Drosophila melanogaster: one gene and its partners. The protein of the gene in region 1 interacts with the protein of each later gene in a pairwise test. Each region holds a gene or a part of one and is shown in the gene's direction. Other genes may lie near its edges.

Evidence for each region.
Region 2: the proteins of pim (region 1) and CG7231 interact in a two-hybrid assay, tested with the Drosophila melanogaster proteins (one large-scale study listed by BioGRID).
Region 3: the proteins of pim (region 1) and dod interact in a two-hybrid assay, tested with the Drosophila melanogaster proteins (one large-scale study listed by BioGRID).
Region 4: the proteins of pim (region 1) and ringer interact in a two-hybrid assay, tested with the Drosophila melanogaster proteins (one large-scale study listed by BioGRID).

What each region holds. Positions count from the first base shown.
Region 1 is NT_033779.5:10,359,482-10,365,817, forward strand, and holds pim (pimples), read left to right. Parts: upstream 1-3,507; 5' UTR 3,508-3,617; coding exon 3,618-3,657; intron 3,658-3,720; coding exon 3,721-4,044; intron 4,045-4,107; coding exon 4,108-4,343; 3' UTR 4,344-4,611; downstream 4,612-6,336. Other genes in the region: Cand1 (Cullin-associated and neddylation-dissociated 1), read right to left, coding at 1-457, 522-1,880, 1,941-2,103, 2,185-2,474, 2,533-2,916, 2,982-3,026; lft (lowfat), read left to right, coding at 5,637-5,709, 5,784-5,947, 6,009-6,199, 6,290-6,336.
Region 2 is NT_033779.5:7,980,329-7,988,788, forward strand, and holds CG7231 (uncharacterized protein), read left to right. Parts: upstream 1-3,617; 5' UTR 3,618-3,910; intron 3,911-4,212; 5' UTR 4,213-4,439; coding exon 4,440-4,482; intron 4,483-4,946; exon of another isoform or gene 4,947-5,165; intron 5,166-5,224; coding exon 5,225-5,440; intron 5,441-5,505; coding exon 5,506-5,756; intron 5,757-5,810; coding exon 5,811-6,377; 3' UTR 6,378-6,457; downstream 6,458-8,460. Other genes in the region: pes (peste), read right to left, coding at 7,549-7,999, 8,065-8,460.
Region 3 is NC_004354.4:21,341,382-21,348,387, forward strand, and holds dod (dodo), read left to right. Parts: upstream 1-3,976; 5' UTR 3,977-4,069; coding exon 4,070-4,127; intron 4,128-4,238; coding exon 4,239-4,571; intron 4,572-4,940; coding exon 4,941-5,050; 3' UTR 5,051-5,182; coding exon of another isoform or gene 5,183-5,368; 3' UTR 5,369-5,477; downstream 5,478-7,006. Other genes in the region: fliI (flightless I), read left to right, coding at 1-1,884, 2,120-2,270, 2,394-2,804; peng (penguin), read right to left, coding at 5,183-5,368, 5,576-6,051, 6,150-6,552, 6,621-7,006.
Region 4 is NT_037436.4:16,352,577-16,362,662, reverse strand, and holds ringer (ringmaker), read left to right. Parts: upstream 1-3,234; 5' UTR 3,235-3,364; intron 3,365-6,214; exon of another isoform or gene 6,215-6,358; intron 6,359-6,471; exon of another isoform or gene 6,472-6,572; intron 6,573-6,626; 5' UTR 6,627-6,633; coding exon 6,634-7,029; intron 7,030-7,295; coding exon 7,296-7,478; 3' UTR 7,479-7,917; downstream 7,918-10,086. Other genes in the region: Cpr72Ea (cuticular protein 72Ea), read right to left, coding at 1-13; Pdh (photoreceptor dehydrogenase), read left to right, coding at 8,382-8,525, 8,582-8,983, 9,048-9,338; Tcs3 (Threonyl-carbamoyl synthesis 3), read right to left, coding at 9,450-9,692, 9,748-10,086.

The sequences.
Region 1 (6,336 bases):
GCAGGCTGCCCACGGACACAGCGCCGAGAGCATGCGAGGCTGCAGCCTTTACATCCTCCGAGGTGGCCCCAAAGCATTCAATAATTGTCTGCGGCAGCACCTGTATGGAGCTCAGATCAAAGTGCCTGCCAATCTCACCGATGGTGAGCAAACAGAATATGATTTCCGTATCGTTACGCTTCTGCAGATCCGTTATCAGCTTTGTGGCCAATGGGGTCGCCACCTGGGGACACTGCTGTGTTAAGGCAGCAATGCACTTGGCCGATGAGTGATAGGCCTGCTTGTGCAGCTGCACCACCTCACTGGGAGCGCCGGCAGTGGCTCTGGATTTGACGTCACCGTTGCCACCCAGAACTGGTGCCATTAGCTTCGAAACGAGCGAATGATAGTCCAGGCCAGACAGCTGTGTTTGCACCAAGGCCTGGAACAGCTCCAACGTGCAATTCAATGCGGATCCCTGTAGCAAAGAAATCAGTTATTAGTTTTGCTAATTACTCAGCTGTTAATTAAAATTCACCCACCTGCAGCAAAGGAGATCGAACCAAAATGAGCACGGAGCGCAAGAACTGCTCATGTATGCCGACCAGAGCTTGGGGCTGCCTGCGAGCTACGGTGCTCAAAAGCGTCAGAGAGTACTGGGCTACGTGCAAATCCGAATCCGATATAAGCGGTGGGATCTCAACTATGGCTGTCTGCAGAAGGTTCGCCTCGAAGTTGCTCGAATAGTTGATGACGATCTTGTTGATCAGATCGAGGGAGTGCAGCTTGAGGGCGCGGTGGTTCTTACGCAGGAATGTGCCCAATGCGGGCAACACGTCGTGCAGGATGGGTGTCAGATCTATGCGCAGGGACGAAGCTGCGATCAGGGTCAACGCCTTCACGCTGCTCAAACGGGTTACTTCGTTCTTTAGGCGCTCCATGAAGATTGGCAGGCAAACCGCCAGCTCATTCTGCAGCATGTCGCCCATGTTGGCGATAATCTGCCCCATGCAGGCTATGGCTCGCTCCTTTACCTCCTGGTCGACATCCGTCACTTTCAGTTTCTGCAATGTGCACGAGTAAACCTGACCCACAAACGATGGGGCATCAAAGTCGGACTTGGCCGCATTCGGTTCTAATGGACGAATCACCTTTACCAACTGCTGCAGCACCAAAAGCGCCTCGGTGGCAATCTTATAGAAAGGATCGAAGACCGAAGTCACTACGAGGGGCACCAGTAGGGGAATATGTGGATGAAAGACATGCGGCGGATGTCCTTGGAGCAGCGAGTAAAGGAATCCCAGAGATTCGATCTTCATGTTGCTGGTAGAGCTTTTGTCATTCAGCGAATAGCTTATGCCTGGCACAATGCTGTCCAAGTAGGGTCCCAGGGCACCTGGTAGCGAATTCAACAGCTCGCGCAGCAAGAGGAAGCAGTCTTGACGCGTTTTCATCGATTTTTCCCTCATTAACGGCTGTATGGCTTTCACAATGAGTGGCAGCTGCTCAATTAACAGCGAGGTCGGACCCGATACCTGATCCATTGAGTCGTGGTCGTTGGCCACGTCGTCGGTGAGGCGTGTGTTCTTTAGCAGGGCCACATAGGCGTGAAATATGTCGGACTTAACATTCTCCTCACGCTCCTTGAAGCGCGCAATCAAAGCCGGACTCAGGCTGCGATAGAAGTCCTCGACGAGCTCCTGCCGTGTGGATATCAAGACCTCCAGACACTTGGCTGCAGCGCGACGAACCTTCCAGCTCATGTCGTCGTCGTCACTGTACTCCTCACTATCGACGTACTCATCATCCTCCGTGTCCATGGCATTGCCAGTGTCGCCATCATCCGTCTCGTAGTTGTAGTTTGGATCGTAGGTGATATAGTTGAGGCACAGCTCCAGGATCTAACAAAACCCATAAGCTATTAAACGTGAATGAGAACATAAAGCATGTGTACTCCTTACCATGGGAATATGCGGGTTTATGGCATCTGGGCAGCGCATGACGAAAGCTTCGCAGGCCTGCAGACAAAACTCGCGCAGCTCATCGTCATCCCGCTGGCTGTACTGGCTCAGCAGGAGCATGGAGCGATCAATGTGATTGCAAAGTCGATGGCCAGCCTGTCGACTAAAGAGTAAAGTTAAATAAAATTGCATCTAAAGATCATATGGCATAAAATATATAACAATTTCAGGAATTGGAACTTACCATATCGAAGCCAGGCACTGAATGTAAGTTCGAATGGCAGCTGGATTTGGTGGGTTCTCTAGGCCATCGAGCAGATGATCGATGACACCGTTGTAGGCGTTGCTATTGGCCTGGATCAGCAGAAATGACAGGGCCACGATGGTACGCTTGCGAACAGCCTGGCGCGATGAGGCCAACTGGGGCATCAGAGCTTTCAGAATGGTGCTGTGGAAGGGAACGAGGAACTCCCCGAAGCGAGAGAGCAGATCGGCCAGAATGTCCAGCGACTCCAGTTTCACAGAGACGTCCTCCTATTAAGGAACAACGGATTAAACGTTTGGGTGCCTAGGGAATAGCAATATAACGCACCTTCTCAATTGCTGTGCTCAGTTTGCCGGTGATCCTTTGACAGACATTTGGGGCCAGGGAGTTTGAGGACTGCGGCAGCTCGGCAATCACTGTCTTTAGGCCAATACTCGATATGTCGCGCAGCTGCTCCGTGTTGGACATCATGTTGGCGCACAGCGAGTCCACGATGGTCTCCACCTGGATCTCCTTCACCTTGTTGACCAGGGGACCCAGGCACTTGACAGCCAGGTTCTGAACTTCGCCGTTCTTGTCTTCCAGCAGCTTGAGCACCATTCGCACCACCTTTTTCTCGGACTCGTCGTCCAGGATGATGCTATCCTTCTGTAGCTCCGTCATCAGATCGTTTGTCGCCATGAAACGGAAGTCCTTGTCCGTCGACGTCATCTGCAGCAGACGAGAGAGCGGAATTAGAATTTCGTTATGTTGCAAAAATGAAATTCTATACATACTTTTTCCAGCAAATTGGCAATTTGGTGGTACTGATGTGACGCCATAGCGAAGGCTTTGAAACGTTCGATCGATAGCAATTAACTGATAAGTGAAATATTGTGTATTTGTATTGGGCTGCCCTATTTTTGGTGTTCTAAAACTTGAAAATTTACTGAAATTTTTCCGGTATTGAATCTCCAAGTTTTATATTCACTCAATTTTGTTATAAAGGCTGCTTAAGTGGGCCCACTTTGAAAAACTAAAAAACCCACTTTATAATCCCTAATGCCTTTTGGATGCCGATAATGGTTTTGGTACATTTTCGTGGTATAAAATACGGTGGAGAAATATTTTGGAACAAGATTTTATGTACTAGTAAATTTTTATATTTAGGTTATTTTATTTTTGAGTTAATACATGACAATCAAAATATAAATATATATATTATCAAATATTAATTCCCAATTTATTTACTAGTAAAATACTTTGTGTCATTACCATCGTTTCAGATGAACGATATATCAGCTATGTGGCACTAAGAGTCTCCCATCTCTAGAAAAGTGCCGCTCGTTTTCAGGAATTATTTTAAACTAAACCGCAGCTCACTGCTAGAATTCAATCAAAATACCTTTTTAACACCAATAAATGCTAACAAAATGGATCAGATTTTAAACAAGGAAAACACCGGCATTAATTGTAAGTTGAATTAGGTTCGACTCCCGTTCGTGTTAGTAATTACATAGCCATTTATCATTGCAGTGCCAGCGAATCCCATTAAAAATGGAGTTCCTACAAATTCCGTATTGAAGAAACCTCTTGGTAACCTTGACAATGTGATGCACCAAACTCCTGGAATAACCCCGTTCAAAAGCACTTCTCTGAAACTCGAGGGTAGTATTGCCAAGCTTTCGCTGCGAAAGGCCCCCAAACAAAATGTGGTCAGCAGGGATCGCGAGGAAGTTAGGTATAAAACAAATAGCTGCTTTTTGGGCGCCTACGTATTGAATTGCGAATACAGAGTCGTCAATTTGTTCAACTACACTGACTTTCCGAACGAGAAATGTTTGAAGAACTGCAGCAAGCGTAAGTACCGCTCATATTAAACAACTCCCCTTGAAAATTGTACTATAAGTTGTATTATTACAGCGGTCACAGAGACCTGGTCGGAAAATCAAGAGGGCTATGAAGGACTATTGGATCAACTTTATCTTGATCTGCGCACATTGGAAAATAATTTGGAAAACAGATGCCTTCCGCCCCTAGATTTTACTGACCTGCCATACATATACAACACAGAAAACATGGAGCCTGCAGAGCCTGAATACTTATTAAATTTATATCCCCCATTGCCTAACTTGGAAGGCATTGATGTTCTATTTTAGATCCTTGTTTAAAAGTTCTATGATTAATTGTAGTTTAATATTTTTTAGCTAGGTATCTTTGTACTACTAATTAATTATTTATTAATGTTATGCTAAGAGAAACTGTTATACCATTAGCTATCCAAGTTTGTTGTCTCGAATCACATTTGTGAAAAATATTTTTTTTACGCTACAATATATTTAGTAGTTTAAGAACCGACATTAAGCCTCCAACAGGCAATTATATGTGTACGATGTACCTCGTTTGGAAGTGATTTTGAATTAAAGCAACTATAAAAACTAACTGGGAGATTAATTTATGGAGCTTTGGAGTTCAGTTGTGAATGTAAACAGAGTTTATTGCTTCCACCTTTTGTCTCTTGATATTTATCAGCATTCGCGGGGCTTAAGTATATTCACTCCGTTTATATTGAATTTGATATTTGGTGGAATAATTCTAATCTATTTTTAGGGTTTCCTCTGTGTTTGCCTAATATGAAAAGTTTATATTTATTTGGGAATTAAACATTTTTGTTCAGTAAACCAAAATATTTTCCCAGCTAGCTAGCTTTTGTTTGCATCTTGTTAGCCTTTTCCCGCTAAATGACGTCTGGCTTTTTTCTGGTGGCCAACAGTTGGCAACACTGCGGCACAGTAATGTATCCAGTTTTTTTTACATTGCTGCAGAAAGGTTTCTCGTCTCGCTGGTGACCTTAGTGGTCCGTTCTCCTGGATAAAATAAAAGTGAAAATTAACAATATGAGTGTATAAAACGAAATGTAAATGCAAAAGAGGTATAAATCTAACAAATAAACATATACTCGTGCAAATGAACATAAAAAGACTCACTTAAGATGTGCAATTGTTCACTAATAATTGTGTTTGTGTTAAAATTATGACCTAATACGGCAATTGGTACAAAATACATACGCATTTAACAAACTTTCCGACCACACCGAATCGAAAGACTTAGGCGACAAACTCGTAATTGCCGAGGGATGTTGCGATGTACATATGTTTAAAGACGTGGCAGTGTCACCAGTGCAACAATACATCTCTTGTATGTATGTAAACATATGCTGTTAATGTATAATATTTCCTGTCTGATGAAATCAAGATCGAAACTAATTACCGACACTTCAATGGACTTTTAGTGAACAAAAAATTAAATTAACACATGTACTAAGTATTTGTAGCCAATAAATTAATTAGATGTTAATTTCTGCAGCCACTGAATGATATGCGGTTTTATTTGTGCTGAAAACGAAACCCGAAACCATTCTTTGTTCAACACAATATTGAATAATCTTAAAAATGGTCTATCCCGAAGAACCTTTTTGGGTTTTACCAACCGTAACTGGATTTTACGAGGATAGAGATTATAGAGGTGAGTTTGATTTGTGTTTGTTTTTTTTTTTATCTATTAGTATAAACCAGTCGCATAATTCGCATATCGTTCAGTAAATGTCGTTGAAGCCCTACAAGAGTTTTGGCAAATGAAGCAGTCTCGTGGAGCTGAATTGAAAAATGGAGCTCTTGTGATTTACGAATCGATTCCGTCTAATAGCCAGCCATACATTTGCTTCGTAACACTTCCTGGAGGAAGCTGCTTTGGAAGTTTTCAAGTAACTACGTTATTAGCAAAGTGTTGACGCAGTGTTTTGTAACACATTTACTACATTTTAGAACTGTCCCACCAAGGCAGAGGCTCGTCGCAGTTCGGCCAAGATCGCCCTAATGAATTCCGTCTTTAATGAGCATCCATCGCGTCGAATCAGCGATGAGTTCATTCAAAAGGCGGTTCAGGATGCTCGCACTTCCTTCAAGGGCACATCGCAAATCAACGAGGGCACAGAATCGGGCATCGGAGCATTCAGGTGGGTTCCATAAACCATAATATATGCACTTGCTATTGAAACCCTATCTTTCTAAGTATTATGAATTAATAAACATTTTTCTGAGTTTAGATTCATGCTGGAGGCGAACAAGGGAAGAACCATGCTGGAGTTCCAGG
Region 2 (8,460 bases), 2.4 Mb from region 1:
ATGTGAGTTCTTAAAAAAGGAAGCTAACTTTCTTGGTCACATAGTTACCCCTGATGGTATTAAACCAAATCCTATTAAAGTTAAAGCCATAGTTTCATACCCAATTCCGACAAAAGTAAAAGAGATAAGAGCTTTCCTTGGATTAACAGGTTATTATCGCAAATTTATTCCAAATTACGCAGACATAGCAAAACCCATGACCAGCTGCTTAAAAAAAGGAGCAAAGATAGATACACAAAAACTTGAGTACATAGAGGCATTCGAAAAACTTAAGGCTTTGATAATTCGTGACCCAATTTTACAATTACCTGATTTTGAAAAGAAATTTGTTTTAACCACAGATGCAAGTAACTTGGCCCTCGGGGCTGTCCTTTCTCAAAACGGTCATCCTATATCTTTTATTAGTAGAACACTTAACGATCACGAATTAAATTACAGTGCTATCGAAAAAGAATTACTTGCCATAGTTTGGGCCACAAAAACTTTTCGACATTATTTACTAGGACGACAATTTCTCATTGCCAGTGACCATCAACCTCTTAGATGGCTTCATAACTTAAAGGAACCGAATGCTAAGTTAGAAAGATGGAGAGTTAGATTAAGCGAATACCAATTTAAAATAGATTATATTAAAGGGAAAGAAAATTCAGTTGCCGATGCATTATCAAGAATTAAAATTGAAGAAAATCATCATAGTGAAGCTACTCAACATAGTGCAGAAGAGGACAATAGCAACCTTATTCATTTAACAGAAAAACCAATAAATTATTTCAAAAAACAAATAATCTTTATTAAATCCGATAAAAATAAAGTAGAGCATTCAAAAATATTCGGTAACTCCATTACCACAATTCAATATGATGTAATGACACTTGAAAAGGCCAAACAAATTTTACTCGATCACTTTATCCATAGAAACATTACCATTTATATTGAGAGCGATGTAGATTTTGAAATTATTCAAAGAGCACACATAGAAATTGTTAATACCACCTACACAAAAGTAATTCGCAGTCTTTTCCTATTAAAGAACGTTGGTTCATACGCCGAATTCAAAGAAATCATACTTCAATCACATGAAAAACTTTTACACCCTGGTATACAGAAAATGACAAAATTATTTAAAGAAAATCACTTCTTTCCAAATAGCCAACTATTAATTCAGAATATAATAAACGAATGCAACATATGCAATTTGGCCAAAACAGAACATAGAAACACCAAAATGCCTTTAAAAATCACACCCAACCCGGAACATTGCCGAGAAAAATTTGTAGTAGATATTTATTCATCTGAGGGAAAACATTACATCAGTTGCATTGATATTTATTCTAAATTCGCTACACTTGAGCAAATTAAAACTAAGGATTGGATAGAATGCAGAAACGCATTAATGCGCATTTTTAATCAACTAGGTAAACCCAAATTATTAAAGGCAGACAGAGACGGAGCTTTCTCCAGTTTAGCTTTAAAGCGATGGCTTGAAGAAGAAGAAGTCGAATTACAGCTCAATACAGCAAAAAACGGGGTAGCAGACGTCGAAAGATTACACAAAACAATAAATGAAAAAATTCGTATAATCAATTCATCTGATGATGAAGAAGTAAAATTAAGCAAGATAGAAACAATCCTCTACACATACAACCATAAAATTAAACATGACACTACTGGACAGACACCTGCTCAAATTTTCTTATACGCTGGGCATCCCATATTAGACACTCAAAAAATTAAAGAGAAGAAAATAGACAAAATAAATGAAGACAGACAGGAATTTAATATTGACACTAATTACAGAAAAGGTCCACTACAGAAAGGCAAATTAGAAAACCCATTTAAACCAACCAAAAATGTAGAACAGACAGACCCTGACCATTACAAAATCACTAATAGAAATAGAGTTACGCACTACTACAAAACACAATTCAAAAAACAAAAGAAAAATAATAAACTCTCAATTTCACAGGCACCTGGTACCCGATAACACTATTGTTTATACTGATCACAGCTGTTCATGGACAACAAATTCAAATTAATAATATTGACACCAACCACGGATACCTCCTTTTTTCTGATAAGCCAGTACAGATACCATCCTCCTTTGAACATCACTCCTTAAAAATCAATTTAACTGAAATAGACATCGTGGTTGACTATTTTGAGCAAAGACTACGAACCGATTACCATGCACCCCAGATCAATTTTTTATACAATAAAATAAAAAGAGAACTAGCCGGAATAACCCTGAAACATAGAAACAAACGGGGTCTTATTAACATTGTGGGTTCAGGTTTTAAATACCTATTTGGAACACTAGATGAAAATGATCGAGTCGAAATACAGAAAAAACTTGAAATCAACGTCCATAACTCAGTAAAATTACATGAACTCAACGACGCCATACGATTGATAAATGACGGAATACATAGAAGATTTGGAAATGGCTATGCAGCTTTCCAGACTTGGACTGTTTAACCCCAAATTACTAAACTACGACAAACTTGAAAATGTGAACAGCCAAAACATTTTGAACATTAAAACATCCACTTGGATTAACTACAATGATAACCAAGTATTAATCATATCCCACATACCCATTTACCTTTCACTAATAAGCACAATTAAAATAATTCCTTACCCAGACTCCAACGGCTATCAGCTAGATTACACAGACACACAATCATATTTTGAAAAAGAAAATAAAGTTTATAATACCGAAAATAAAGAAGTAAAAAATGAATGTGTCACCAATATTATTAAACACTTAAATCCAATTTGTAATTTTAAGCCAGTACACACGAACGAAATAATAAAATACATAGAACCAAACACAATTGTAACCTGGAACTTAACCCAAACAATTCTTAACCAAAATTGCCAAAATTCAATTAATAAAATAAAAATAGAAGGAAACAAAATGATAAGAGTAACGCAATGCAAAATAGAAATCAATAATATAATTTTAAGTGAAAATCTGTTAGAACCAGAAATAGATTTGACATCACTATACACACCACTTAATATAACAAAAATAAAAATTGTAAAACACAACGACATTGTTGAGATGATTTCAGAGAACAATATTACACTTTACATACAAATGATCATTGTAATAATCGCACTAATTTTGTTGTACTCATATTTAAGATATGTATCATTTAAACCATTTATGATGCTGTATGCAAAACTTAAAATAAGAAAAAATCAAAATCAAAACACACCACAACAAACAGAAATAGAAGAAACTCCATTTCCCACACTATATCCATCAATCCCAGCCCAAGTATAGGCTTCTCTTTAAGGGAAGGGGAGTGACGTATTTGGGTGGTCCAAACCAGCCACTTCCATTATTTCAAAGAAATCAGTAATGCACTCTAGTAATTTTCCATAACGTATCCCAGCTGCGCAGCATTCGTTTATCTTTGGCAGCGCAGCCGTTCTTGTAAACATCCTAAAGCCTGACCTAAGCAGATTTGACTGCCCTCTTTCAACGCTACCTAATCTTAAGAACCCAAGAGCGAGGCTCTCCCGAAATACAAATATTGTTCAAATACTGAGGCTTCTCCTCAATCCAATTTGCATTTGATTTTTAGTCTTAAGCTGAGATCCAAAGAATAAAGTCGTGAAACTATTTCTCCTAAAACTATTTTTTATTTCTTGGCGTTGTCCTTAGTCAACTGACGGGACATTAGTTCGACTCATAAATAAAACAACAATTTTACTATATATTTTCAATTTTTTTTTTCGCAAGCGTCGCACGTGCGAGCTTTTCCCCCGATATTTATATTCGCCACTCACACACACGCGCACCGAGAGCGACACGTCCGAACGGTTCCAGAGCCGTTAAATTTTCGAACTAAAACTGAGTGTCGGGGGTGTAGTGTGGCCAGTTCTTCTAGCGCTCGTTTCGGTAAAGTTTGTGCTCTCGCTTATTGGCCGCATTTCTTGTGTACCGCCGCATGGTCACTCTAGTGCCGCTCTTTGAACCGCTCTCTTACGTTTTCTCTTCTATTACTGCTGCTCATTTAACAGAAATGTTAAAATGCAACGCTTTTCTAACAGAGACCGCGGTCTAAACTTATTTAAATAACATTTTATCTTTTAATAAGCAAATAAATGTAAATCGTACTTAATGAAATATATGATTTTACAAGATGTGTGGTAATAATTTCCATAAAAACGTTTGTTTGTTCTTTCTTCTTTATAATGTAGTAACTAGTTTAACTAGTCCGCGAGTTCATCGGATAACGTGACCACTTAAAAGATTAGATTTTGGGATATGCGGATAGATTGTCACTACCAATTTACAATACTTAATCAATGTTTAATTAAATCAGCAAATGCTATCGATAAGCCAAACTGAAAAATTGCCATTTAGTTCGTTTCTAACCGTGGCGGTCCCAAGTTCATGATCAAGTGCCCTTAGACCTATAGAAAAAATGGACTCAAAAATTACCTTTCTACTTACAACGCTACTATTTGGTAATTCGTATTTTTGCACTTTTCAAAATCATTACATATCATCATTTTTTAATGTTTTTAACTCATGTACATACGACCCCTGGGTCGCTTGGAAACATTAGGATCCAGACAGTTTAGTTTTGACATAACTTAAAAAAACTAACAGGTATCTGATAGTCGATGCTCCTGTACTCAATTAAAACATTTAAATCTGACGAGTGTGTTGGGTAACATTACTTGATAATACATTTACACAATCGCAAAAAGGGGGTAAAACGTAAAATAGCAACATTTTGTTATTTTTTGTCAATAAGTTGTCATGTAAACTCTTAGAGCTAGGGTATATGAGCGTCGGTCTCTTGAAGTTAAGCACATTTCTCGCCATTCTCACTTCACGTCTGCTCTCTACGCTTGCGCCATTGCACAGCTGACAGATTGAAGAGAATTATTGATGTGCAGTTGCATTGCAGCATTCGGTGAAAGCGGAAGAAGGGCACAACGCGCTTTGCATTCCATAAAAATCGCATAACAAAGGGAGTTAATTAGAGTCCATTCGCGCACACATACATATGTACACGCTCATTGCGAAGTAAACAAATTCACATTGGATTGGATTGCATGTGTTTGCGTATCAATTCTCGCTGGTAGGGTGGTAAGGAAGGCAAATGGGCTTATCTACGCGTATCTGCCATATTATGCCCTCTGTGCGTCCCATTGTCCAATTGTGGAATATTAATGCCGTCTATTTCACGTCCACTCGCAGTGCTCGTGGCCAAAATCAATGGGTCTGCTCTGAACGCCAGCAATTATCAGTACCAAGTGGTGGTCGAGCAGACAGCGCCAGACGATTCCCAGATCGAATATATATTCCTCAAACAGTCGGATATGATGAAGGTATGGGGCACAAATCTCACTGCCATTACCTGGGCCCATGCCGTCAACAGCCAGCAATTGCTGGACGAGGTCCTAACCGAAACCAGTAAGATCATTGGCCAAATATGCGCGTGTAACCAACTTATCAATAGTATCATTTCCCTGCCCAAGGTGGCATTGACTTCATCGAAGCGGACATTGTGCTGGGCAAACTGAATGGCGATGGCGAGGACATGCCCATAATGGCCCATCCGCCGGCCAATGTCTCTGATCTTACGCTGTCGGAATTTCTCAACCAGATCATTAATTTCAACCGTGATCATGAGGACCAAAAAAAGGGCGTTAAGCTCGACTTCAAGTCGATCGAGGTATTCGAGGGTTCCCTGGACATTCTGGACGTGAATATTCCGAACGTAAGTTTGGTCATCGAATCTCAGATATCAGAACAAATTAAACAATATCTCTGTGTTGTGCAGCCTACCACGTATCCTGTGTGGATAAACGCCGATATTCTAAGTGGTCCCGTGGAACAGAATAGAACCGTACCCGTTGATGCGGACCGATTCTTCGCCGGCTGTATGCGCTACAAACAGGCAGTGCTCTCCATTGGCTGGACAACTAACTGGGGAGCCGACTTCCGGGATGGCGAGTACACGCAGCAGCAGTGTGATGACATGCTGGAAACGCTGAGCGAGAACAATGTCCTATCCACTGGCCAGGCCATAACCTTTCCCGTGCGCGCTGGCATTGCCGCCAACAGCGAGGAGCAACTGCATCGACTGGTGGCCGCGGTGAACGAGACAAACGAGAGCACCCTGACCATCTGGTCGTCTGCCGGTGACTATGTGGATGTGGATAAGTTGCGCAAACTGATCTTCAGCTTCGGCTTGGATAGAGTCTATCTGGATGTGCCGGAGGAGCTGGCCTCACAATTGAACCTGGACAATCCCGGCAACGGAGCCAGCACCTTCAAATCCCTGTTTGGCTTCAGTTTCATGAGCCTTTGTTTTTGGGCTCTGTCCAGCTGGATGCAGCGGTTATAATATACGTAATTAATATAAGTACGGTAATCAGAGCAATTTTTATACAACTTCCAGAAAACATAATTAAAACTTATACTTTTATGTGTTGACAGTTTTATTTTCGTTTAGGTGGAATTGTTGGAAATCGCCTTGGATGACGAGTCATCTTATATAAAAAAGATGAATTTTAAAACACATTTAATTATTCAAGTGTATTGTGTGGATTTAAAGAAACTTATTTAAGGGAATATGTTTCTCAAGGCAAAGACAAATGTAAAGTTTAATAGTAACAAATGTATAAATTGATTGGATTTCGAATTTAAAATTTATATGAAGATATGTTTGGATATTTTTTTTTCAGGGTCTCCATACGTAGTTTTAGTAACTACTGCCATTTTCAGAAAGTCCCTCTTTGATCACTTGATTTTAATAATTTTTTCTATTCATTTATCTTAAGGAATTTTTGGAAATATTTCCGGGGTTCACAGCTGTGCTTTATAATCTAGGTATTTAGATCTTACACTGATCGACATTTGTACATAGGATATGCGTAATCTTTGCAGTGCTAGCGTTATTTGTACAAGACTTAAAACAACAACTATAATTTTTAGTTTTTCGGCCTACCTATGTAAATGAGCAACAATTCTCGCTACCTATGTTCTCTGTTCAATATTATTTCTATATAACTTCAGATCAATCTGCATTAAAATCTTAAATATCGCTCTACAAATGTTATGCATTATTATATAAATATAAATACTTTGGGCATGCGCAGTTTAAACTTCAAGAATTAAGGAAAATGAGTAATGGGGCGCTCTAAGCGAGTCGCTCTATATACAATTTAGTTTATCCTACTAAAATAGTTAATGACTTTTTGCTTGCGTTTTCTGCTGTTATTTGGCACTAAAATAAATAATCTTATAAATCTCTCTCGCTGTCCGCAAAGCGTGCAGATGTGTTGAGGGAACTCCTAATGCGATTGGGGCATGCGTGGTAGGTAATGTGGTGGTATGTGACGTGAATTGGAACGACATCCTCGATGAGCAACTTGGTCCAGCCTCTTAGAGCCTGGCTAAGGCAGAATGGTTTCATCACGTTGTTCTAAGCTATTCTAAGCTACGGCGACGTAAATGAGTCTCAGGCAGATGATCGTTGGCGGCACCGTCAGAATGGCTTGATGCCAACGCATGTATTATCTAACTACAACATCGGGCGAGTCCTCGCTGATCAGACGCTCCCTGTGCGAGCTTTCCATGGTACCACTCTCCAGTCTTATGCCAGAATCGCGATTATAATCCAGTAGGCGCACTCCCACACGCTCGTTGCCCGATGAACTAATGTTGTTCCGGAATAGTTGGGCCACCGGCGCTGTGGCTGCCGACGAATTTACACCAAAGGCGTTCAGTGGTCGCAGGACACTGGCCTTCGCCTTTGGATCGCTGTGACAAAAGTGCGTCACTTGTCGCGTCGGGTACCAGCAGGTGCATATAAGACCGCCCGCCAAAAGGATGCCGGTTACTATCTGCCCCAGCAGGACAATTAGCGGAACAAGCGCAATGTCTGCGGCAATTTCCTCTGATACGCGTACGCGCTCCTCGCACCACATCATGGGTATCATGACCGTCGGGACATTCTCATACAAGCTGAAAGAAAATGAAAATATTAGTTTATGTAAGGAAAAGGCTTATGTAAAGGTCAAGTTACTTACGTAATACCCGGAATTGGCTCCATGTAGTAGTTGGCCTGAAAGCCACCACCCACGTCCATTGGCACGCCCGCATTGGGCTCCAGGGCCATGAAGAACTCGTGCTTCTCGCGTTCTGGTCGCAAACCCTCGATGGCCTCCAGATAGCTTGGATCCGCCATGTAAAAGTGCGGAAAGGACATGTAGACGGATGCGTTAAAGGAGCAGGGTCCGATATTGATCACACCGCTGGGCATACACTTTCCTCCGACGCAATAGCAACGGGTATCCGGATATAGAGTGCCATTGTCCACAGCGTGCCGGGTGCCACTGAATTTGTAGGCGGTCACGCCGTGCACGGTCACAGTTTCCACGTAGTCCAATGGTATAGCACGACACATCTTGGGCATGTACATGTAG
Region 3 (7,006 bases), on another chromosome or scaffold:
GCTCAAGGGCATGAAGGATGTGGCAAAGGATAAGGATAACGAGGCGGGTGCTGTGCCCGAGGACGGAAAGCCAGAGTCGCTCAAACCTAAGAGATGGGACGAGTCACTGGAAAAACCGCAACTGGACTACTCCAAGTTCTTTGAGAAGGACGATGGCCAGCTGCCGGGCTTGACCATTTGGGAAATCGAGAACTTCCTGCCCAACAAAATTGAGGAGGTGGTGCATGGCAAATTCTACGAGGGCGACTGCTACATAGTCCTCAAGACCAAGTTCGATGACCTGGGCCTGCTCGATTGGGAAATATTCTTTTGGATAGGCAACGAAGCCACGCTGGACAAACGAGCTTGCGCTGCCATTCATGCAGTGAACCTAAGAAACTTTCTGGGCGCCCGATGTCGAACGGTTCGCGAGGAGCAGGGCGATGAATCCGAGCAGTTTCTGTCCCTCTTCGAGACGGAAGTCATCTACATCGAGGGCGGACGCACAGCTACTGGTTTCTATACCATAGAAGAGATGATACACATCACCAGATTGTATTTAGTGCACGCCTATGGCGCTACCATTCATCTGGAGCCAGTGGCTCCTGCCATTACCTCCCTGGATCCCCGCCACGCCTTTGTCTTGGATCTGGGCACCCATATTTACATTTGGATGGGCGAAAGATCGAAGAACACGCTGAACTCCAAGGCCAGGTTAATGGCGGAAAAGATCAGCAAAACGGAGCGCAAGAACAAATGTGAAATCCAGTTGGAGCGGCAGGGCGAGGAGAGTGCCGAATTCTGGCAAGGACTGGGCATGACCTCGGAGGAGGCAGACGCCGCAGAGCCACCAAAGGAGCACGTTCCAGAGGACTATCAGCCGGTGCAGCCTCGCCTCTACCAGGTGCAACTTGGCATGGGTTATCTGGAGTTGCCGCAAGTGGAGTTACCTGAGCAAAAACTTTGCCATACCTTGCTAAATAGCAAGCACGTCTACATACTCGACTGTTACACCGATCTGTTCGTTTGGTTTGGCAAGAAGTCGACGCGTTTGGTCCGAGCGGCCGCTGTCAAGTTGAGTCGGGAGCTCTTTAACATGATGGATCGTCCGGATTATGCGCTGGTGATGCGTGTACCCGAGGGCAATGAAATGCAGATCTTCCGAACCAAGTTCGCTGGCTGGGATGAGGTAATGGCCGTGGACTTCACGAGAACGGCGAAGTCGGTGGCCAAGACAGGGGCTAATCTCACACAGTGGGCTCGGCAGCAGGAGACGCGCACGGATCTTGCCGCGCTATTTATGCCCCGACAGTCGGCCATGCCATTGGCGGAGGCGGAACAGTTGGAGGAGGAGTGGAACTACGATCTGGAGATGATGGAGGCCTTTGTACTGGAGAACAAGAAGTTCGTCCGGCTGCCCGAGGAGGAATTGGGTCGCTTTTACACCGGCGAATGCTATGTGTTCCTCTGCCGCTATTGCATTCCCATCGAGGAGCCCGAGAATGGCTCCGAAGATGGTGCTAACCCAGCCGCAGACGTCAGTAAATCCAGCGCCAACAATCAGCCAGAGGACGAGATCCAGTGCGTCGTTTACTTTTGGCAGGGACGCAATGCCGGCAATATGGGATGGCTCACGTTTACCTTTACACTGCAGAAGAAGTTCAAGGCGATGTTCGGCGAGGAGCTGGAGGTGGTGCGGATCTTCCAGCAGCAGGAGAACCTCAAGTTCATGTCCCACTTCAAGCGGAAGTTCATCATCCACACCGGCAAGCGGAAGGACAAGGCGCACACCGCGAAGGGCAAGTCGCCAGTTGAGTTCTTTCACCTGCGATCGAACGGCGGTGCGCTCACCACTCGCCTTATCCAAATTAATCCGGATGCAGTGCATCTCAACTCAACCTTCTGGTGAGCAAATTACCAATAATTTATTACTGTGGGTGGTAATAATCACCCAGTTTTTTTTTTTGAGATGTATGACAAGTGCGATTTTATTGGATCAACATTCTTGTCTTATCGTTGGTTGAAACTGAAATTCCTGGAAGCCTACGTGATATGACACAGTATTATTTATATATATCCAAAAGATAGCGAACATAGTAGTAGTCGCTCCAATATTTATATTCCATACGCATTATTTCAGCTACATACTCCATGTGCCATTTGAAACGGAGGACGATTCGCAGTCGGGGATTGTGTACGTGTGGATAGGCAGCAAGGCCTGCAACGAAGAGGCCAAACTGGTGCAGGATATTGCCGAGCAGATGTTCAACTCGCCGTGGGTGAGCTTACAGGTGGGTTCCATGTGTTAATGTGGTTCAACCATGTAGTGGGCTGTTTTGTGGAATATATTGTACATATGTTTATATTAAGGTACACGCTCTTGTTAATCGTTTCTTTTCATCCATCCTTTGCAGATTCTCAACGAGGGCGACGAGCCGGAGAACTTCTTCTGGGTGGCGCTGGGCGGCCGCAAGCCTTACGATACGGACGCCGAGTACATGAACTACACGCGGCTGTTCCGGTGCTCCAACGAGCGCGGCTACTACACGGTGGCCGAGAAGTGCGCCGACTTTTGCCAGGACGATCTGGCCGACGACGATATCATGATCCTGGACAACGGCGAGCACGTCTTCCTGTGGATGGGACCGCGTTGCAGCGAGGTGGAGGTGAAGCTGGCCTACAAGTCCGCCCAGGTCTACATCCAGCACATGCGGATCAAGCAGCCGGAGCGGCCGAGGAAGCTCTTCCTCACGATGAAGAACAAGGAGTCGCGCCGTTTCACCAAGTGCTTCCACGGCTGGAGCGCCTTCAAGGTGTATTTATAATTTTAGCCAACTGAAGGAGCATCGTCGAGTAGTTCTTTTAAATTTCCCTAATTCATGCACCGCCGCTATGTGGCCATTTAGGTCTCCGCAAGGAAAGCGCCTAAAAGGCGCTAGTTTTTGTCTTGCTTGTCTCGATTGGCGCCTTCGAGTCCCTGTCAGAGCTAGTGAATCGGCCTCGGGAAGTGCATTTATTAACCAGAAGTCGAAGAGCACGCCTGCAATGTGAGTTTAGTTTTATGAAATGAATAGAGGCACCTTAGAGGTGTTACCCACTAATCTTAGCCCGTTAGAGGAGCCCCATCGAGTTGTAAATTGGTCATTAAGCATTAAGTTAGACCTCTGTTAGCCGGATGCGAATGTTGTTCGCTGGGAAGATGCGCTGGGCAGCTGCCGTGACAGAGTAGCTGCCCCAGAAGACATGACAAAGCAAAATTGTATCGAGGGAAAAAGAATGAAAGGGCCAAGCCAAGCCCTTCCTTCAGGTCGTGAGTGAAGATCGTGTGTTTGTACTTTTATAAAATGTATTTAATTGTTTTGTATAATTAATTTAAATTTTTTTATTAGCTCACTTGCTCCCGCCCCTAACTAAATAATTAGCTAACTCCAAGAACGCCAAGTATTCGCCCACTCCCTGCGAGAAAACCACATGAGTATATTGAATGCAAATATACATACATATGTATGTATATCACATATGCCTACAAATACGCAATATATATATATATATATATATATACATACGCTGAGCTGAGAGGATTACTCCCCTGTGCTAGTCCTTTTAAAATGTTAACCTACTTAAAGCTAGCCTGTAATAAAGTCAAGGAAGCACTAAAACTAATTGTACAAATGCCCACGTATTTATTTTATTTTTATTAATCCCCTGAATAAACATTAGAAAAATTGAAATTCCTCTATTCGTGTCGCGGATTGAAGGAGGTATTGGAATAGATTTAATTAAGTTATGTGCTAATTTTTCGGCAAAAGATACATATAACATATCAGAATAGCACATATCAGCACATTATTGTTAGTTCGCTGCTATTATATTGGCCTCAGCTGTATCTGCGGTTAGCGAGTGCACCCACCGCAGTTAGCACGTGCCAGCACCTTATTTGGCGAATTCGCCACCATGTGTATCGATATGTCGATGGCAGGCGCTATCGATTTTGATGGATGTTCTCAAAGCGTGTTCGGCGCGGTCACACTGGTGGTTTATTTTATTCCGAAAACTATTTGTAATTTAACTCAAATTAAGTGAAAACAGCATGCCAGATGCCGAGCAACTACCGGACGGCTGGGAGAAGCGCACTAGCCGCTCCACAGGTAAGCATCGTGTGCAGTCCCGCTCGTGCCATGCCGGCGGTTTTCCGGCGGAATGCGGAACCGGCACGCTAAACTGAACCTGCACTTGATTGATCATGATTGATTTTGCAGGAATGAGCTATTATCTCAATATGTACACAAAGGAGTCGCAGTGGGATCAGCCCACAGAGCCGGCGAAGAAGGCGGGCGGAGGATCCGCCGGCGGCGGAGATGCACCGGACGAGGTGCATTGCCTGCATCTGCTGGTTAAGCACAAGGGCAGTCGGCGTCCCAGCTCGTGGCGCGAGGCGAACATCACGCGCACCAAGGAGGAGGCCCAGCTGCTCCTCGAGGTCTATCGCAACAAAATCGTCCAGCAGGAGGCCACATTCGACGAGCTGGCCCGCTCCTACTCCGACTGCAGCTCCGCCAAGAGGGGCGGCGACCTGGGAAAGTTCGGCAGAGGTATGTATATCTCCCCACTGTGCATTTGTCACACGTCCAGGATCGAGTGGTCCTCGATGTGTGTCCGTTTAGGAATAAGGCGCTTCCCACTTGAGGCGCAATCCAGAAACAGATTGGTACTTCCACTAGAGGCTCTGATTGTTTTCAATATTCAAGAGAAGAGAAGAGAAGATATATCGACCACTAATAGATTATAGATGCATAGTTATAGACAAACACTATTTGCAATTGGCTCCGCGGCATTTCTTTTTTAATCTTCCTTACCTTACACATTTTTGTACCTATAACTTCGCGAGCTACTTGCAATCGTAGAGTTTAGGCCACCCAACCGACCTGCAACTGCTTCTAATTACATTTCACATCTCACAGGTCAGATGCAGGCGGCTTTCGAGGACGCTGCCTTCAAATTGAACGTCAACCAGCTGTCGGGCATCGTCGACAGCGACTCCGGCCTGCACATCATCCTGCGCAAGGCATAGACTCATCGAGCACCGACCCACAGCACAACTCGCGTCCCTTCACATGAATAAAACGGAATGCCCAGCCATTTCAATATAGAATTATTTATTGTATTTTAAAATGTTAGGTCTTGTCTAGGCTAGAAGCGTTTCTCATTTGCCAATGTCCAGTTTGGCGGCCAGTAGCTTGGCTCCGGGCGTCTTACGGTCCGCGAGTATCTGGCTAAGGCTCCTCTCCGCCGCGATGGCTTTCTTGCAGTCGTCCAGCAGTGCGGGACACTCCTCCACCAGCTTGAGCAGGACAAAACAGGCCCGGTTGACGCCCAGCCAGGCTTTCAGCTGAAAAGGGAAAGGGAATCGCAATTAGGAATTGGAATCTGAGTGAAGCTGTTTACTTTGCGACTACTTATTTATTAGACTAAAGCTAAAGGAATGTCGAAACGTCATTAAATAAAAGAAAAAACTCAAAAGTACGATGCGTTTCTCATGACTGGGAAAAAGGAAGATACCCTCGGTTACCGGATGGCATGATTTTTGGGTACTTACCACATCGGAGGACAAGTTTTGGAGTAGCTGTTGGCTGAACGGGGTGCCCTCTCGCTTGCCATCGTTCTTGAGTATCTTCTTCAATACAATGTGCATGCCGGCCTCCTCGATTCCGGAGACCAACGGAGCCGCCGGCTCCTCCTCCTTTGCCTTTGGCTTTTTGGGCTCCTTTTTGGCTTTCTTCACCTTGGGTTCGGCATCATCTGCGGCCGCCTCCTTCTGCTCCTTCTCGTCTCCTTCATCGTCGCTCTCCTCATCTTCATCTTCATCTTCATCTTCGTCGTCGCTGCTGCTCTCGACATAAAGCAGTTTTCTGCGCTGTTTGGTGGCCTGGGCTATAATGGCCTCCACGTCATTGTGAGGCTTCTTCTTATCCTGCGGCTGCGGACCGGCGGCGTCTGCTGAAATGCGCCACTCCGGTTGGACGACGACTTGGGCAAGGGCCGAAGCAGCCTTCTCATAGGACTCGCCTTGAACTAAAAGGCAGAGATGCAAACGTACATTAATATCGTGAACATATTCTTGTAAATCCATATGTATGTTTCTGCTATGGCTTTCAGAAGTGTGCACTTACTGTGATTAAGAATATCGCCGGTGACCAGGCCGATGTGGCTGTTGGACAGCCAAAAGGCGGCATCCTCGGCGATGGACTGTGCAATCGGCGCCTCTATCTGCTCAAGGATCTCCTTGCGACGCAGCTCCTTCTCCTTTTTTCCAAAGGCTAGACCCTCCTCCACCGTGCGAATGAACTCTGGATGGAAGCATGTCGTATCACCCGGAGCCACCAGCCATTGAATCACTCGTCGGCCGTACGGGCTGCTCATTAGCGCCTTTAGATCTCCGTGTAGGTGATCGTAAATTGCCTTCTTGGTCGCCTTAGTGTCGTCCAGTGCGTTTAGCAGCGAGATGAGGAACACGTGGCCGTGCTCATGGTTGGCGATCTTTAGCAGGTGCTCCTTGATATTCTTGATAATGGCCTGAAGAAGGGGTTAGAATACATATAAGATTCTGTTTCATCAACACACGTTATACGTGATCCACTTACTCTGCGATTCTTGGGCGTCGACTTGTAGAAGCATATAACAGCCGCCTCGCTGCCCTCCTTGGTGGACAGCATGTGAGGCACTAGAGCCGCAAACGCAGTGACCGTCTCCTCCAGCTTCTCCTCATCTTCGTCGCAGGCGCGCAGGTACTCCAGCATCACGGCGTGCACCAGCGCACTGTCCACCAGCTGCTTGTTGGCCACATGATCCAGGTTTGCTTTAACCGACCCCAAAATGGAGGCCTTCATGTTCGTGGCCTCCTTATAGGTGTCGCTCAGAGTCTTCACATTCGAATCCTTGGCCTTCCGGTACAGATCGCCGTAGAACTCCTGGCGCATATAGATGCGCTGATTGGGTGTGGCGCTCTGATACATCGAATCCAGCAGCC
Region 4 (10,086 bases), on another chromosome or scaffold:
GTGGATACTTCATGGTTGGGCAGTGGAAGATTGCTTCGAGTGAGTCTTGTTCGTCAGTTCACTGGTAACTGTTGATTCTGAGCCTAGGTCTTCATCCTTTTATACCCAGCAGGTTCTTTCGCGAGTTCTAGGTTCTGGTTCTGGCTGAGGTTCCTGCCGGTCAGATGCTTCTATTCTGATACACTGCGAAAAAATTCTAAAAGTATGCCATATTATTATCTAAGAGAGTATACAAATGTTTTATGCTCTTTTACCCTAATATAGTAACGTGATTTTTATGACTTAAATTAAATCCAAAAATAAGTAGTTCGTAATTTGTTTAATAATGATTTGTACAAAGCTTAAAACATAAATTTAAATGCATATAAATAATAATATTGCTAAAAAAGACTGTTCTTAAATTCCTGAAATTTTAATTTTATGATTATGACAATCATTAAAAAAATATTTTATTATTGATAAAAAAGGTGGTTTATTGTACTTAAATAGAATTCATCAAATTTGTACAAGCACACGTATTTCATTAAAGAATAACCTAATAGTAATAATATCTGTCACATTTTAAAATAGTAAACAGCCAATTAATTTTTTCTCCAAATGTATCCATCAGATGCACTTCAATGCAAACGAGGAGATGCGAATGCGTCGTCGTGTCCACTTGTGTCGTTAACGGACATTGCAGCTCCGCCTTTCACTCCCCTTTTGGGGATCGACGCCTCGTGAAGGCGTTGTCAATTTGGTTTAATTGTGGCCAAGGCTGGAGTGGGCCCAAATGAGGGAGGCAGACCCTGGTTCTCCGCAGCGGGAGGAGCAATCGCTGCCTGGCATCTCCATCTGCATCTGCATCTGGATCTGCAAGCGAGCCAAGGGCCTTGGCTGGGTGGACCATCAAGGCCAAAGACCGCATCCAGACCAGCGTGTAATTGATATGCAATCGTTGTTGCTGCCACAGCATTGTGGCATCTCAGCCTCCTTTTTGTTCGCACACTGCAACGGGGCCACGACAACAACAGCAACTTCAACTGCAACAGCAAATGCAACAACTGTGGCAACAACCGACGACGACAACAACGGCATCTCAAGGTGAGTGAAGGCCAAGGGCCACATTTGGCCACAGCTTGGACACGGGAGTCATGCACTCCAGTGGCGAACAAAATGGGGGTCTTAGGGGGGTCATAAGTACCCTTAAAAATTATAATACTTGGTTAGATACATATGTATGTACATAAGAAATATATGTTTTATGCGAAGAGCTTACAAATATGACACAGAAAAGGGTTAATTAAATCGTTAAGTCCGCTAAATAAATAATATAATGTGAATTTTTAGACACCTTATAGTATACACTGAAGATATATACTTATTTCAACCGGACACTAAGAAAACCCCCTAAGAATATGTTTCCCATCCGCCTCTGATGCACTGCAGCTGCATTGGTATCTCCTGTTCCTCCTTCGCTGGTCATTTTTATTTTTAGCAGCGGGCTTATCGGATGCCTCAGATCTCTGGTGCTTAAACTTCGCTCCCGATTAGGAGGAGGAGGAGGAGCAACTGCAAGAACCACATTGGATTGGCCTTGACGGCTCGGCTGATAAGTGCGTTTTAATGTTAGCCCCGTTGGCACTCAGTTTCAATCAAAGCCCAATTCTCTACAACCATTCCAGCCTGGCTTAATGAGCTGGTTAGTTCTGGCCTGGAATTGAAGTTGGATTGGCAATATAGTCCGGTCCACTTGGTTCACTCCCTTTGTTCTGTCTCGAGTGGACTGTGCCCTGATTTGTGTACCACCATTGGTTCTTTGAACTGCCTTCGTGGCTAATTAAAGGTGCACTTAAGATAGGCCAGGTGGCAAGAATCATGTTTTTCATTTTTCAGGACTGGGAGTACTTTGATTTTATGTCCTAGAAAAAAAGAGCAAACGAATCAGTCTAAAAGGTATTTCAGCTGTAAAACATTCCATAAATATAGGAAATTTAACTCTTTCTAATTTTAATTAAAGAATATTCTAAACGTCATCTGGTCAATAAACTAAATGAATATTGTAGAATGAAATATTTAAATTACATATCAAACATTGTATATTAAATAATAATAATCAATGGACCTCTGTTTGTAATACCTAATGCTTAATTTACGAAATTAATTAGAAGTCTCCTCAGGGTATTTCGTTTTCCAAGTTAGTCTTTCAGTTGCTTTGTATTTTGGTTTTGGGCCAGGGCTATGACTTCATCGAGTTGGCCACAAAAACTTACCAAATTCTTCCGACCGTCAGTTCTCATAAATCAATGTCAAAGGTTTTTTTTTCGTTCGTTTAGGGTTTGTTTTGGGTTTAGGACGGGCTTGTTGTTTCAGTATGTGTTTAATCATTTTATGGAGTGCGAAGTAATTTCCTTATGATTTCCTATTTGACTTTTACTTTTTCCTGAATGTCCAAAATAGAAAAGTTCAAAGAACCCATTTACCTAGTAAGGCGGTCGACAAATCTTAACCGCTTGAAATAAGTACTCATTTGCATAGCTAAGCATGAGCTCACTGGTTAGTATAGCCCAAGTCACACCCCAAAAACACGTCTAAGTAAGCCCAAAAGATACACCCTTCATTATTCGAATTGTCTGGCACTTGTTGTGTGTGTTTTTTGCCCAACAATTTCACGCATCGTTTTTTGTTTTTTTGCGCTTAAACAAATTTACTGACTACAAACTCACTGTTTTAGTAGCTCAGACTGTGTGGCGAACCCCTCCCCTTCTCTTTAGACAATATAAAATCAGGAAAAGCTTTAAGCTTTATTCCCTAGAATTTCACTCACAACAAACCAAAATTTTGAGTGTAACTTGTTGGTTTGATAAGATTCTGGTGTGTAGCGTCACTTTTGTTATTCTGAGTTGTTTTTAGGTCTCGTTTGTTTCTTTTTCTTTCTGATAAATGGCTTCGTCGTGTGGCTTTCGTTGTTAGTTTTCGTGTATAAAATTTTGCGAAATGAAGTCATCGCTTGAAAAAAAATTGGGGGGTCAGTAAAAGTGTCTATAAGATCCAAATCGTTTTCCTTATCTCATTCAGAAAGTTTTGGAATTTATGTTAGCTCACCAACGATTTGCCATCTTTTCTTTGGATAAAATGCTAAGGAGGATTTTCCTTTTTGAGTTTCTATTTCACTCAGCGAAAGCTCACTCAAAACAAAAATATCACTCATACGCCGCTTGGGCCTTCGCTAGCCACTGGCTGCGCATTTGTCCAAACAGTTGAGTTTCGACATCGCCAGCATTCGCGCGTTTGCCTTAAAGTGATTGGAAAATAGCCGAGGAATAAAACAAATATTTTTTTGGAAATATATTCAAGAATTTTTGGAACTTTTTTAATAACAAATGTAAGTTGGAAACGTTTCGAGAAAAATAATCTAGTTCGTTGGATTTATTTTTTTTTTTAAAATGTTACTGTATCCTGCATCTATAAGCAGACTCCGAGCCAAGGATATTTTTTTTATTCATTTTATGAGTAGCAGGTTCATATTTTCAAGAGCAGATTTTGACCCACTTACCGCGCATCGCGTTCCCCTTTTCTTTTGTTCCTGGGGAGCACCATTGTTTTCGATTTCCTTTGGGAGGTCCTGATTTAGGCGCATTTTCCCCGCTTCCGTGTGTATATATGCGTGCATTTGAATCATCAGTCTGAAATTCCAGTACCGAGACCCCCCAGGAAACCCCTTCTCCAAACTGGCGCTTGCGCGTTTCCCAGCTCCCAGTGATGTCATCTGGGCTAGTGGTGATGTAGCTACACATTTCATACACATATTATGTCCCGAGCATAAGTCCCCCTCCTAAGTCAATGATTTCTCTATTGCGTTGCGTGCTCTATCAGAATGCCCATGACTTCCTGTTTTGTTCCCCCCAAAATAAAAGTTCTCTTTAATTTATGCATTCAGTCCGAGGTGCTAATATTTCTGTGTGTTTATTAACACACGTAAACTCATATGTGGTGCAGTATTTCATGTTTCTCCCCCCAAAGTCGTTTGTTTTATAAATATACATCGAGATGACCCAAATTTCGCTTCCTCCATTCGCTTTCCAGCGGTCCACTTGAGGTAGGTTGGGTTTATAATTGCGTTCCCCTCTCCAGGAAGTCCATTCTTTTCGAAAATGGCTATCTATAATATTCATTCATATTCCTATTCAAATTGTGGTCATATGTCATATATATTGCCCAATTAACTTTTACCATTTTGGTAGAAAACTAATTAAAATGTTGGCAACGAATTCGCAATGCTCGACTGGAGCTGGATGAGAACTTGTTCTCCAAATCGAAAATACAGAGAAAGAATCCAAAACAGAGATGGGAAATGAGAAGAATCGAATTATTTATGGTCTGACAAGCAAGCGGATTATTTCTGATTTAGACTATCCACGCTCCCCATCAGACTGCCTGATTTTCTGCCATTCATTTCACGAGGGGTATCTGCACTTTGAGTTGCCAAAGAATATTAAGAAAATAATTTATTTTGTGTGAATATAGTATCCAAGTCTGATCAGGGTATCATAGGATGAGTCTTTCCATTGTCGATTGCGATGATTTAATACTTCCGCTTTTTAAATTGATTACGATCATCTTAAACTGTTAGTATTTCCCTCGAATAATTATAATATTTAGATTTTTGTAAAACCTTTCAGAAAATTATTAGCAATCGGGCTTCTATTAAAAATCAAACTAATAACGTCAATCTTAGTGTAGAAAATTGGATCTAACAATCCGAACTATTTGCATTGGCTGATGGTAGTTAAAAAAGATTGATTTTACTAATATTACAAAATGAATTCTATTGTGAAAAAAAGCATTTTGAAAGCCACCATAGATAACCTAAAGATATTTCTTATTAGTTTTGATTTTACAGGTAATTTCCTAGTCGATAGCCTCTTGTTTTTTGCCATCTTAAAACTCTTCTTGCATATTCCAACTTCTTTTGTGGTGTAGTTTGTCAACTTTTCTTGTTTCCGAGTATTTATGGCTTCCAATTACATGTAGGGGCGGAGTAAAGGGTTCCATTAGTCTTGTCCGGGAACTGGGACCGGATAATTTGTATCGTCTTGAGCGGAGTTCAAGTTCAATGGCCCTGGTCTTGAGACCAATAAGATGATTAATGACCGGCAGACTTGCTATGCATGCAATGTTCCCAATTAACCACTCAGTTTACATAGATCATTTCGATGGATTATCTGGGGAATATGGGCTATTAAATTGCCTCACCCCAGAGCTATTCAAAGCTGATCCCAGAACAGCGTAATCAAGAGCCGGCGTAATGAGGCGATGACATAAGCACTCATTTTTCGATTTGGATTGCGAATGGGGCTAGGGGGTGGTAAAATAGTATTTGACATGCTCGACGGGCTGCATCAAGGTCATGGTGATTCTACCCCGCCCGTCCACTTCGATTTCGATTCGCATCTGTGCGGGCACAAGCCGTGGCATCATATCTCACGGATAGAGGACTCCAAACTGGTTGCAGTCGCATCTTATCGCCGCATTAAATGCTTGCCCAAACGGCTTCCATCTCTCCTGGGGCTCCAACTTGCAACCTTAAGTGGTGCGTAATTAATGGCTCCGCCAATAAATGCTCACGTTTTATTTACTGTTTATGGAATGATGGGGATGGGTCTGAGGATTCGACTTCGTGTTGGGTAGCCTGTAAACAAGAGGACAATTTATGCTACAAGCAATTTTAAAACTAAATTATCATCCAAATTTATGCCACGTTCGGTGGGTAACAAATTAAGCGAGGAATTTCTGGCGATGCGTAAAATATTTATTGCTCTTTTTGTTATTTTAATAAGCGTAAAAGTGATTCATTTTAATAATTTTAGGGTATATCTATAACTGTATAGCTGTACCGTAAATACCTAATATCGCCTTAGGATTATTAAAACCCATGATAACTGCATGCTAGAGACTAATCATAAAAGATCTAGCAAGCTAGCGCTAAGTTCTGACCCCCATAGAGTAACCCATGTGAGCCAAACCTGTTGACTATTTGTTTTGTGTATTTGGGTTTGCCAAAAGGCGATAATTAGCTGCGTTGGGAGATGGGGGACCCAAACCGATGACGCCATCTAATGATTGAGTCTCTCCCAATTTGCCTTTAGATTTCCATCTCTCGAAATCTAGCTGAGAGAGCTTTGGCCTAGCTTTGGGTGGGTATAGCTTTGCCTTTGTCCAGTTCAGCATGGGTTGTGATATCATTGCGAAAGCGAAGTGAGTAAAGTACTGATAAGGTGTTCGCAAAGATACGTCTGGGAATAGCACCTACATATGTAGATAGTTGACAGTGACGGACAAGACCCACCGCAATGTTGGTGAGCGTTGTGGCCCACAGGTGAGGAACTGCGTAGGTGACAACCGTAGTCAACCGATTACGCAGGAGCGGAAAAGTTGCGTGTTGGAAGAAACCACTACAAAATGTTAAACAAAACAATGACCTATCAGGCTAGGCATATTATTAATAATAAATGATCCTCAGTCCATCTGTAAAATTGAAGGTTCTTTGTCCGTAGTTGTTTATTTATTACTGGGCATCTATTAAAACACCTGTAGGGTTCAGTAAAGGTTAAAAAAATATATATAATATTAAATATATTTTTCAGATCCACCATGTCCGAGGTAGCTGCAGCAAATGGAAGCCCCTCCCCAGCGCCAACTCCTGAGGTGCCCGCTACCGAGTTGGCCCAATTGGCGCTGGAGGATGAGCCCAAGGTTAGCTTTTCGGATCAGTTCAAGGCCTTCTCCAAGTTCGGGGACTCCAAGTCCGATGGCAAGCTGATAACGCTGTCGCAGAGTGACAAGTGGATGAAACAGGCCAAAGTTATCGACAAGAAGATCACCACCACGGATACAGGCATCCACTTCAAGAAGTTCAAGGCCATGAAGATCTCGCTCAGCGACTACAACAAATTCCTGGACGATCTGGCCAAGACGAAAAAGGTGGAGCTGTCGGAGATCAAGCAAAAGTTGGCCAGTTGTGGAGCTCCAGGAGTTGTGTCCGTTTCGGTGGGTTTGATAAATTGGTTGTGAAAAATATGATCTATATAAGTCAAATGATTAAGATTGATTTTAAAGTGTAAAGAACTTCGAGAAGACCATTTAGATATGACAAAATTTAAATGATTTTTTTTTGACTCATTTAAACTATCAATTGTTAAAGTAGTTTTCTTACAGAAGTTCTTAAAAAATATCTTTTTAAACCTTTGAAAGTCATAACCATATACTTTATGCCTTTATTGAAAACCTAATCAACATTTTGTTACCATTTTTAGGCTGGAAAAGCCGCAGCTGCCGTGGATCGATTGACGGATACGAGCAAGTACACCGGTTCCCACAAGGAGCGTTTCGATGCCTCCGGAAAGGGCAAGGGTATCGCGGGCAGACGGAACGTGGTCGATGGATCCGGATATGTGAGTGGCTACCAGCACAAGGACACCTACGACAATGCCCACTAGATGGGGTAACCACCGTTTTTCACCCTCTCATAAATCTGTATTTCTAACTTTTGTGTTTCCCTAGTTAATGTCTCCCAATCTAATTTATCTTTGTGTATATAATAAGTTTGTGATAATTTAAGTGCTTACAAATAAACTTATATTTTTGATTATAATTTTTGAGTTCCTTTACTTTGTTTATCCTTCTTTGTCCTTTGATACGTAAAATTTTGAAGCGGCCCAAAAAGAGTTCAAAAGTAAATCCAAATCAAATTTATATACATTTCATGGCAATCAAACCCATGTTTGGTAGTCTTAAGATAACAGATAAACTTTTAATATTACAATTTGTGAAAGAAATTTAAATATCACATATGGAAACCAAAGATATACGACATACATATGTAGATATATGTTATGTTTTCACAAGAATTTTGCTTGAATAAATACACTTTAAAATATTTGCATTGCTAAAATTTGTATTGGGAGGAAATACAATTTAAAAAACCAAAATTTTAAAGCAATTAAGATGGTTTTGTAAATCGAAATATACATTTAATTGTAAGATCTTTGAAAAATGCCCAACATGTGTACCTTCTTAAAAGCAAAGATTTCACTGGAAGATAGTTATTAAGAGATCATTGCTTTATCTACACAATGACATTATCACTGATGCAAAGCTGACATCGAAAAACCGGAGCGGTGTGAAGCAGACTGAACGCTACAGCGACCAGATGGGGATGGAAATTGATATATGGGCATAAGTTGCATAATCCTAACCCAGAGCAGGTGGAAAACTAGCTATTGATTGCAGTCGAACCAAAGTCACTCAACGATATATCATATAGCCCTTGGGAAATAGGTATAAAAGCGGCGAACATTACAGCTCCAAGTCAGCAGTGCAACTGAGGAGCTCAGTGCTTGATGAAGCCACAAGGAATACCACCGACTACTACACGAATCAGCCAGACCAAGATGTCCTTTCGCGGCAAGAATGCAGTGGTGACCGGTGGAGCTGGAGGCATTGGACTGCAGGTGTCCAAGCAGCTCCTGGCCGCTGGAGCAGCGGTTGGTTGTTTTACACATAATTACGTGAAGTAATTTCTAAAGCGAGTGCTTCCTAGAAGGTGGCCATCATTGATTTGCAGGATAATCTGGAGGAGTTTGTAAAACTTAGGGCCGCTCATCCCACCCAAAGCGTAATGATCATCAAGATGGATGTGGCGAACAAGAAGGGTGTGGAAGCCACCTATGAGGAGATAGCCAAGACCTTCGGTAACATCGATATTGTGGTCAATGTAGCCGGGATTTTTAACGACAAGGATGTGCAGAGGACTCTGTTGGTAAATCTCGGTGGAATCATCAATTCCACACTGAGTGCATTGCCCTACATGGGCAAGGATAATGGCGGCAAGGGTGGCATTGTGGTTAACATGAGCTCGGTGGTGGGTCTGGATCCAATGTTCATCATTCCCGTTTACGGAGCCACCAAGGCTGGCATCATCAACTTCACCCGGTGCTTGGCGGTAACAAGAATTTCTTACATATCTTTTGAATTAGGTTTTTCATTTAAGTCTCTTTCTTAATTAGAACGAAAAGTACTATCAACGCTCGGGCATCAAGTTTGTGACTGTTTGTCCTGGAGCTACAATGACGGACATGTTCACCAACTTTACGGAGAAGATCATCTTCCCGGAAACGAGTGACGAGACCTATAGGATCCTGGATAGGCTAAACAAGCAGAGTGCCGCTGATGTCTCTCGATGCATTCTGAATGTCCTGGAGAAGGACAAGAACGGAGCTGTCTATGTCATCGAGGGTAAGCGCGTTTACCCTTTGGAAATTAAGCCCCAGTGGACGGGCAAGGAACAGGCCCTTTAAGTGGGTTAATTCGTTCACATCCTAAACACATGCATTTTACAAATATGAAGTTATTATGGACACTAGTTATTTAATAAACAAACGATGCACAGAAATAAGTTCTTGTGGTGATTAGTCATCCCGCCAGCTGACCAGCACTTCGTCCGTTCGAAATCGCTGAGTCACATAAGATTCCTCAAAGGGCATCCTAGTGCCAGAGCGGAACATTTCTGCACCAGCATGGGCAATCATTAGTCCGTTGTCTATGCAGTAACGTTCATCAGTGGCAAAGAGTTTGCCTCCGCGTTCCTCGCACATAATACGCATCATCTCCTGGAGTCGCTCATTGCAACCCACACCTCCAACTATAAGGACCTGAAAAGAAGTCGGTTAACTCATAGATTAATTTCGGAAAACTGTTGCAACCAACCTCATTTGAGCCGCAGTGTGCCATGGCGCGCTCTGTGATCTCCACCAACATGGCGAAGATGGTCTCCTGCAGCGAATAGCAAAGATCGGCTTGGCTGTAATTATTGACCTCTTCTTCCTGTGGCTTTTTTCTCTTATTTTGCCTCTTGCCCGGCTCTGCCAGGTCCTCGATGTAGGATAAAATCCCCGAGAAGCTGACATCCATGCCCTTAACCACATAGGGCAGTTTAATATAACGATTGCTCGACTTGGCCAGCTGCTCGATGTTGTAGCCCGGACTAGGATCGTTGGACAGCTTAATGATGCGGGCGAATCGATCCAGGCAATTGCCCACTGCAAT